Nothobranchius furzeri: one gene and its partner. The protein of the gene in region 2 interacts with the protein of the main gene of each other region in a biochemical or structural test. Links are inferred from orthologs where the notes say so. Each region holds a gene or a part of one and is shown on either strand. Other genes may lie near its edges.

What was found.
Region 1: the proteins of sgta (region 2) and ubl4a form a complex in vitro, tested with the Homo sapiens proteins (3 studies listed by BioGRID, with this or other methods). The link is inferred for Nothobranchius furzeri from reciprocal best matches to the Homo sapiens genes SGTA and UBL4A.

What each region holds. Positions count from the first base shown.
Region 1 is NC_091757.1:40,380,203-40,384,238, reverse strand, and holds the start of ubl4a (ubiquitin-like protein 4A), read left to right. Parts: upstream 1-1,233; 5' UTR 1,234-1,423; coding exon 1,424-1,471; intron 1,472-4,036. UniProt on the Homo sapiens protein: As part of a cytosolic protein quality control complex, the BAG6/BAT3 complex, maintains misfolded and hydrophobic patches-containing proteins in a soluble state and participates in their proper delivery to the endoplasmic reticulum or alternatively can promote their sorting to the proteasome where they undergo degradation.
Region 2 is NC_091748.1:79,890,823-79,895,052, forward strand, and holds the start of sgta (small glutamine-rich tetratricopeptide repeat-containing protein alpha), read left to right. Parts: upstream 1-1,420; 5' UTR 1,421-1,560; intron 1,561-3,737; exon of another isoform or gene 3,738-3,982; intron 3,983-4,230. UniProt on the Homo sapiens protein: Co-chaperone that binds misfolded and hydrophobic patches-containing client proteins in the cytosol. Mediates their targeting to the endoplasmic reticulum but also regulates their sorting to the proteasome when targeting fails.

The DNA of each region.
Region 1 (4,036 bases), on a different chromosome or scaffold from region 2:
TAGATAGATAGATAGATAGATAGATAGATAGATAGATAGATAGATAGATAGATAGATAGATGATATATAGATAGATAGATAGATAGATAGATAGATAGATAGATAGATAGATAGATAGATAGATGATATATAGATAGATAGATAGATAGATAGATAGATAGATAGATAGATAGATAGATAGATAGATAGATAGATAGATAGATAGATAGATAGATAGATAGATAGATAGATAGATGATAGATAGATAGATAGATAGATAGATAGATAGATAGATAGATAGATAGATAGATAGATAGATAGATAGATAGATAACAAATGAAATGTGTTTTGCATGCTCCAGTAAGACTATAATAGTGTTTCAGACACTCATCACTTACCACGTGCAGTCTGGGTATCGATCAGTACCTCTTCCTCACTCCCGTGAGTGCGTGCTTATTTGACTCCGTCCATCCGACAGGTGTGTACATCTCTCCTGCAAGTGCCCGAGTGAAAGATGCTTCTCCTGCTGGCCGGGACTGAGCAGGCAGCGTAGACAGGCAGTCACGTGACCAACATCTCGGAGACCATCCATACGGGAGGGGAGAGGTAATGACAAATGCGTGGACTGGATCCGAATTGGGTCAGACGGTCCTCGGAGTCCATCGGAACCAATGGGGAGCGTCAAACTGAGAATAGCCTTTCCCCCCAGCTAAAACAAATCAAAGGTTATCTGTGTGCACTCTGATAGCTCCTTCTTCTGTCCAATGAGGCGTTTGTGCTCCATTTCAATAGGTCCGTTTTACGTTAATCTGTGATTTATTTTATATGTTTTATTTGGCAACACATTGCAATTCAATGTAATTGCTACTCAGCGTTGTTTTGTGTCAAATTCATTTTTGCTCGAATATGGAAGTGTGAGTTCGTGAGGAAACATAATAAAAATAAGAACAAAGGCGATATATTTAAAACAAGCAAACTTGAAGCTGTTTCACAAAAGTCTAATCGGGGTATTTGGGGGTATTTCGGCTGTGAAATTAAAAGCCTGTTTTATTTTCTCGGGCGGACAGAATAGGCTTGATGTTAGACGACTACTGCAGGTGAAATATGCTGATTTTCACAAGTGTGTTTGAATCAATTGTGATTTTTTAAACATAATTTTCTACGTTTGAAATGCAGATTTCTGTTGTTTTCCAGTTTTGTTTGAAGGGCTGAGATATTCCTGCCAGACGGTGGCGCTGTTGTCAGTTGAGAGCAAGCAGTAGCTGCAGAAGAAACAGAGGAGAGTCGCAGAAGAAGAAAAAAGAAGAAGACGTTCCACTGAGAAGAGAACAATCTGTTTGCTCGTTACCAACCACTAAAGTAACGTTATTTGGGTACATTTTAAATCATTTAAAGTTTGAACCTCTTCGCGTGTGTTTGGTTTGATATTTTTGCGGCTCTCATAATGATTATCACGGTGAAGCCGCTTTCAGGACTGGAATGTAACATTCAGGTGAGTTAACGCATCATGATGCTAACTGCCGGTGTAGCCAGCACACCGATGGTTATTTATCATATTAGTTTGCAAGTAAAGGGAGAACATATATGCTTCTTTAGTCAGGAAATTAGACAAAACACACCATTCTATGTAGGTTATGTGGGGTTAAACCGGTTAAACATAAACATCTGAGACGAGTTTAAACGTTATCTCTACCGAAGCTGTCCTGCTAGTTAACACTAATGTCACAGGAGGCCTTAAAAATGCACGTTTTTATGCTTTATTGGTTGTATTTATTAAAGTGGAAGGTTGTGCGTGACTGTATGACTTGGACAAATGTTAGCTTGGAGTATGGTTGCTATGGTGATCGTAACAGGGAAATCACCCAGAACTTTAGTTTTTAAACCAAAGCATTCCGTTTTTAATTCGTAAACGTGCAGATTCCATTCAATTTCAACATTTGGAAATTAGATGTGTTTACTCATTTGTAAACACTTCGATCTTTTAAAGCACCGTCGCGTGACAATCAAAAGGTTGTATTTTAATAGCTGAGGTAAACTAAATTCCCAAATCATTGTGGCGTCTACCTTTGTCTTTAAGATGTGAAGAGTCTGATCTTGCGTAACTCAATCCCGTGTTACTACACACAGAAATAATTGATACGCTTTTAATTTCTTGTTTATAATGATTTTACAGATTTAAGTAGGTCTGGGGTTTGAGCCAACAGCGCACCACAGCCGAGACATTTTCTAATTTATGTAAATTAGGACAACGAAATCACGGTGAGCAAATTCAAAAGTTGTCATTTACATTTCTCACAAGCCTGATTTAAACTTTGCCCTTCAGAATAACATATTCATTGAAATTCGTTTCATTTTTGAGTCGGCAGCTTAAAGAATCTCATTATTCTTCCCTCTGGCTGAATCCAGTCTCATTAATGTTTGCTAGCGACTCGAGAAACCTGTCTATAATACCCTTCTCTGTTTCCTAAATAAACAGAAAATGTCATTACCAACAGTGAGTTTATTTAAAAAATGATACATGAAGTTGATGCAAAGTTAATTGCCTAAACTTTGTTACTGCGTCACTTTCGTCTCAGTTGCTTGTGCTTCTTTTACTTCCTCTCAGTGCTTCCTGTCCTTATATCCAAACTCACACAAAGAACCAGTCTTCTGTCTCTGCTTTTAACCATTTTCTGGTGTGAAAATGCAGCAAAAATTATAACAGGCTAGTAATTATTCTACATTATTTAATCCTGTACAAAAAACACAACTGTGGTGCAGTAATGAGTATAAGTTTGTATATTTAGCTGGATTAAAACACCACAAATAAATAATGCTTTTGCTTAAAGAGCAAATTGCAGGTTAGAGACTCAAATAAACCAATGTTTAGAGAAACATAATAGCAACTCGTTTTAAACTTTTTTTTACACATTCATAAATTATTTAGGCTTTTAGAGTCATTTTTGTGAGAGAGTTTTTTTTTTATTTCTTTGCCAAACCAAGTCAGCCGACGGGGTCCTGTTAGCTTAATCTAGAGAAAAATGTAGATCCTAATGTCGGCTCTGACACAGAGGAAACTTTAAATGTTTGTAATTATACTTATGATGGACCAAAAAAAAAAACAGCTGGCCCGCTGAGCCGCCTGTCTCTTCTGGTGGTCGGTTCTGACCTGGTTCTGACGGTGATCTGAGTTCCAGAAATCTGAATGTACTTTTTTAAACCCTGCCACGGGTCTCCAGAGCCCAGCGCAGACCTCCCTGTCTCTGTACCAACCGATTTGGGCTACAGAAGTCCCGTCTTTTCAGCTGCACAAAACGCCCTCAGGCATGTGAGATAGAGGCGTAGTTTCTCTTATCTGGAAACCCGTGGACTCGATGTCCAGAAAGGCTGGAGTTGGTACAGCCTTCACAAACTATAGTTTATCAACATGAACACAATCCAAAACTAGTAAACACACACGCTGACTGGATAACATGACCGCTCTACCCTAAAACTACCCACTCTCCACACAGAGCTGAGGCAGCGCCTAGCTTCTAACTCCCTTTGGTTACATCAGAGGTTCAGATTTAGAAAAAAAGAGCCTTTTTAGAAGCTTTGCTGAGAGAGGCCACTTTTTACTAGAAAACTGCTGTTTTTAAACCAAATATCCACAATAAGCATTTCAAAGAGTATGTTTGGACAGCATTTTATATGAATTAGAAAAAAATATGTTACCTGCAACTTGCTTTTTAAAGAGTTAGTCACCCCCTACAAGAAATTCACGTTACTCCCACTTCATCTTTGAAAAATGCAACAAATGCTGTTGCCTGGCAGACCGAGAGAGCGGAGCCGCTAACAAATAAACACAAACAGGCTCACAAAAGCATTGTGACATCAAAATGTACTAGCTAACGTCATTGCATACCTCTTAGCCAATAGCAGTGGCAGGTTTAAATTTAAATGTAGTGAAGAGGTTTTACCGGACGACGGCACAACACTGACAGTTTTAGTCAGAATATTTAAAGTCCAGGGGCCACGCACAACGGGGTTGGAAAACTGCGCAAGCAATTTTCCACGCAAACTTTGGAATTCATGAAAG
Region 2 (4,230 bases):
CAAGTTTCACTAAATGCCTTCAAAACCAAACTGACAGCTTCAGAGATTGCATTAGTAACTTGTAACTGCTTCTAATGACTGAGTGTTTTATCATTGTCATGACGTTGTAACTGTTTGTATTTTTGCTGCCTCTTGGCCAGGTTCTTAACCTCAATGGGTCTCTATCCTGGTTAAATAAAGGTTTAAAAAATCTTTTAAATCTTCCTTTCATTAACTAGAGCACATAACCTAAAACTCTTAGCTGATGAGGTTCAGCAGCGAGAAACTCAACAATGAACACCTGGCAGGAAAAAAACCAAACTAAACAAAAACTTTGTAATTCCACAACAACCCTAACCTGCAGGCACATTTAAAACATCTGATATATATATATATATATATATATATATATATATATATATATATATATATATATATATATATATATATATATATATATATATATATAAACACATGTAGAATTGTGAGATAAATTGTGAATTATTTTAATTAAAACAACAACGTAAATATATATTTACGTTGTTGTTTTAATTAAAATAATTCACAATTTATCTCACAATTCTACATGTGTTTATATATATATATATATATATACATATATATATATATATATATATATATATATATATATATATATATATATATATATATATATATATATATATATATATATAACACATGTAGAATTGTGAGATAAATTGTGAATTATTTTAATTAAAACAACAACGTAAATATATATTTACAGAAAAAAATGAGAAGGTTGCCAATGAATCTTGTATTTTGCTACTTTTGAAGGGTTCATTATTCTGTAATTTTAAATGTAAGCCAGTCCACAAATGTCTGAATATCACCTCAGGTCAGGATTTTATGGTTAACGCTTCAGTGTCATCAATCCTAACTGAAGTCTGAAATAAGGTGTGTGCACCCTGGAGTCCGTGGTGAATGGATGACTCTCCAAGTGTTCGCTACTCAAGCGGGAGTTTGAATTTGGAGTCCAGCTGTGGGTTCTTAGGCTGAAAGGTCAAGCTTCTCATGGTTGCTGTTCTGACGCGTTCAGTGGAAACCGGTGGTCATAATGTTATGGATAATTGGAGTAAATGAACTATACAAACAGACCAGCAGGGGGCGATGTCAAAGGGAAAGTCGCGCTTCACGTAGTTTGTCCCTGTAGGGCCGCCGTAGCGCTGAAAAATACAAACGCCTTTTCCATCGTTTTAAAGGTGAGAACAACTTAACAGGTAAAGATTCCAGTTAAACACCTCAGATGAACCCGCTCACGCGCCTTTAGCTGACCGCGTCTTCAGGAGGAAAGCTGCAAAAGTCTGTCCTCATTTATTTCATTTCTGCTCGTCGGAGGCGGAAATGATTCGTTATGAGGATTTTAGAGACACGGTTATTAACTTTATCTTTACTTCCTGTGAGGCTCTGGAGCCTCAGCAGGACGCAGCTCCAGGTCACGGGCAGGCTCGTGTCCGGAGAGGTGGAGGTGTTTCTGCGGACCCTGGAGCTGCCTGAGCCCCGGAGGACTGGCTCGTTATCCGGACTCCTGCAGAAGGACAGGTGGGTAGGGACGAGCTTCCGGTTCGGTCCTGGCTGCAGGCTTTCCGCGGGGTCTAAAAAGTCCTAACAGCGTTGAATTTAGGAATTTGGAAATGATTCCTTAAAAGGTCTAAAATGAGTGCGGAACGTAAATGACCCGTACCGTGTTTGTCCTCTAGAGTTTCATTTGTCAACCACCATCATTTTTATATTACACCTTATTGTTTTATAACGTAGCATAAATAGAGTGGCGGAACCAATAATAGAGAACCGCCTCGGGTCTAAATACTCCGAACACGTGACGTATTCAGCTCCCGCGCTACAGCAGCGATCCAAAACGGTAAACACACACCGTGTGTGTGTGTGTGTGTGTGCGCGTGCGCGTGGACCACACAGACCTCCAGCAGAGGAGGAACATAGAACATCTCAGCTCATGAGAAAGGCTGACTGACGCCTAGGGCGGGTTCCAGAACTCTGGACCTCTTTGGGACTGAGTGGAAACACTCGTAGGTCCCAGGGCCGGATTAACACTTTGTTACCCTGGGCAACAATATTCAAGGGCCCCATCATAACAACCCAAGAATCACCACAATATGGTCACATACAGAATATTTTACTGTAATATGCAGTAAATATACTCAATACTTGAATGCCTGACATCACGTAACCCGCTCAGGGTAACCTTTGACCCACCTCGTGTGGACTGACCAATGAGGAGAGGGTCTTAACTTGAGGCCCTCTCTTCTGGTCCAAGCTCTTTGACATTAAGTTTTCCACCATAGTTCTCCTCTCGAACGGATACTGGAGAAGAGACCGAACTGAATTCAGTGGCTGCTGAGATCCGGTATCCATGCTGGTTGTAGTCACCGGCGGCGTCCATGTTACATCTGCGTCACGACCAAAAACGTGCTGGAGTAGTCGAGACTCTCCGAGTTCTACCGAATACCAACGAAAGCCTTTGGCGGTAGCTCTATCGCCCATCATGCTTCTGAATCGACGTCGACGCTGATTGGATACATTCCCATTCCTACCGTTTGATTTTCTTGTCAGCAATTGGCCGGCAGCTTCCGTGCTGTTTGGGCGATTGAAACACAGCCTACAGCCTTTCTGTCGCCTCCACCGCTCGGCAGAGAGCTTCTCACCAATATAGATATATACATATATGATTTGTTTTTGTTACAAATCACACAATTAACTTAGAATATGTGATTATTGTTAATTTTATTTATTTTTTTTTAATTAAAATTAAAAACACTGGGGAAAACTGGGAGGGCGGCGCCCTATCACCCTCTACTGGCCAGCCGCCACTGAAAGCAGGAGATTACAGATACAGTATTTTGCTCTTGCCCTTGCTGCCCTGGGCCCTTTAGAGTTCATGGGCCCCTGGGCAATTGCCCAGTTGCCCATATGGTTAATCCGGCCTTGGTAGGTCCCAAATATCAGAAAAAAGTGTTAAAATGTCCCGATGTGCCACTGCAGGTCACATGACTGATCCCGGGTCACGTTATGAGTGGAGCAGGCGCGTCTCCTTTCAGCAACATTAACTAGAAAACAAACGTTTGGGTCGTTTAGCTAAAGTACGCAGCAGCTAAATGCATCAGCAGGAATAGCAGCAGTTTCACCAGCACCTGGTCGTGCAGGGCGGCATCTTAAGAGCTGGAACATGGAACGTCTCTGACTGCAACCAAGTCAACCCGAGTCCATCACCTTCCCAAGCCCTGGAGGAGTGTGAGGATGGAGGCTGATGACAGCAGACCTGGCTGCTGTTATAAAAGCAGTTCAGCAGGTTGTTGTTAACTGCTGTTACTGACATGAAGTCAGCACTAATGAAGCTGCTTTATTCATGTTTACATGTTGGGCCTTTACTGTTTGCACTGCAGCTTTGCTGGAATAAAGTATAATATCAATAAATATAATAAAATAATATAAAGAACACAACCTTTAAGTACTTTGTTATCCTCTCTTCTCGCCATCGTTAAAGTAGTAGTATGAATAAGTACTTCATGGTACCCAGCCCCACTGATGCTGTTATAGACATGTGTTACGTTTAGGGCTGCAACTAACGATTATTTTCATAATCGATTAATCTGTCGATTATTTTTTCGATTAATCGATTATCGGTTTGTTACTGTTTAGCTATTTAACCTATACAAGTGATGGATGCATTTCAGTTAAGAAAAAAAAACATAAGAGAATTGTGCAGTTGACTGCAATCTATTTTATTGCACATGAACACAGTCAGCAGTAGAAAATGAGCTAAACAGTGCAAAATATCAGTCCAGAATAATTTTTTAGCATTAGCTGGAAGCCTGCTCCTTCCACCATGGATAGTGGCCTCATGTCTTTTACCAGCATGTTTAGAATAGAGTTTGTAAGTGGTATGCATTGCTGGGGGGTGAGTGTCTTCTTCCCCATGTAGTTGTCCATCGTTGCTTGTTTTTTTCTGCATAAGAAACACAAATAGACTGAAATAAGTACACATATAAAATAAAGCAGCACACACACTACAACACTAAATCAATGTTAAATTATTTGAATTAATTAACAATATACAGTGATCATTTATTTTGAGGGTTACGTTCTACAAAATAGCCCGCAACAGGAGATATTAAGAAAAAAAGTCTAATTTTTTTACTATTAAAAAGCTCAGAGTAAGAAGCTCATGAGGTTTTTACTTTGAGTCGGGAGTGT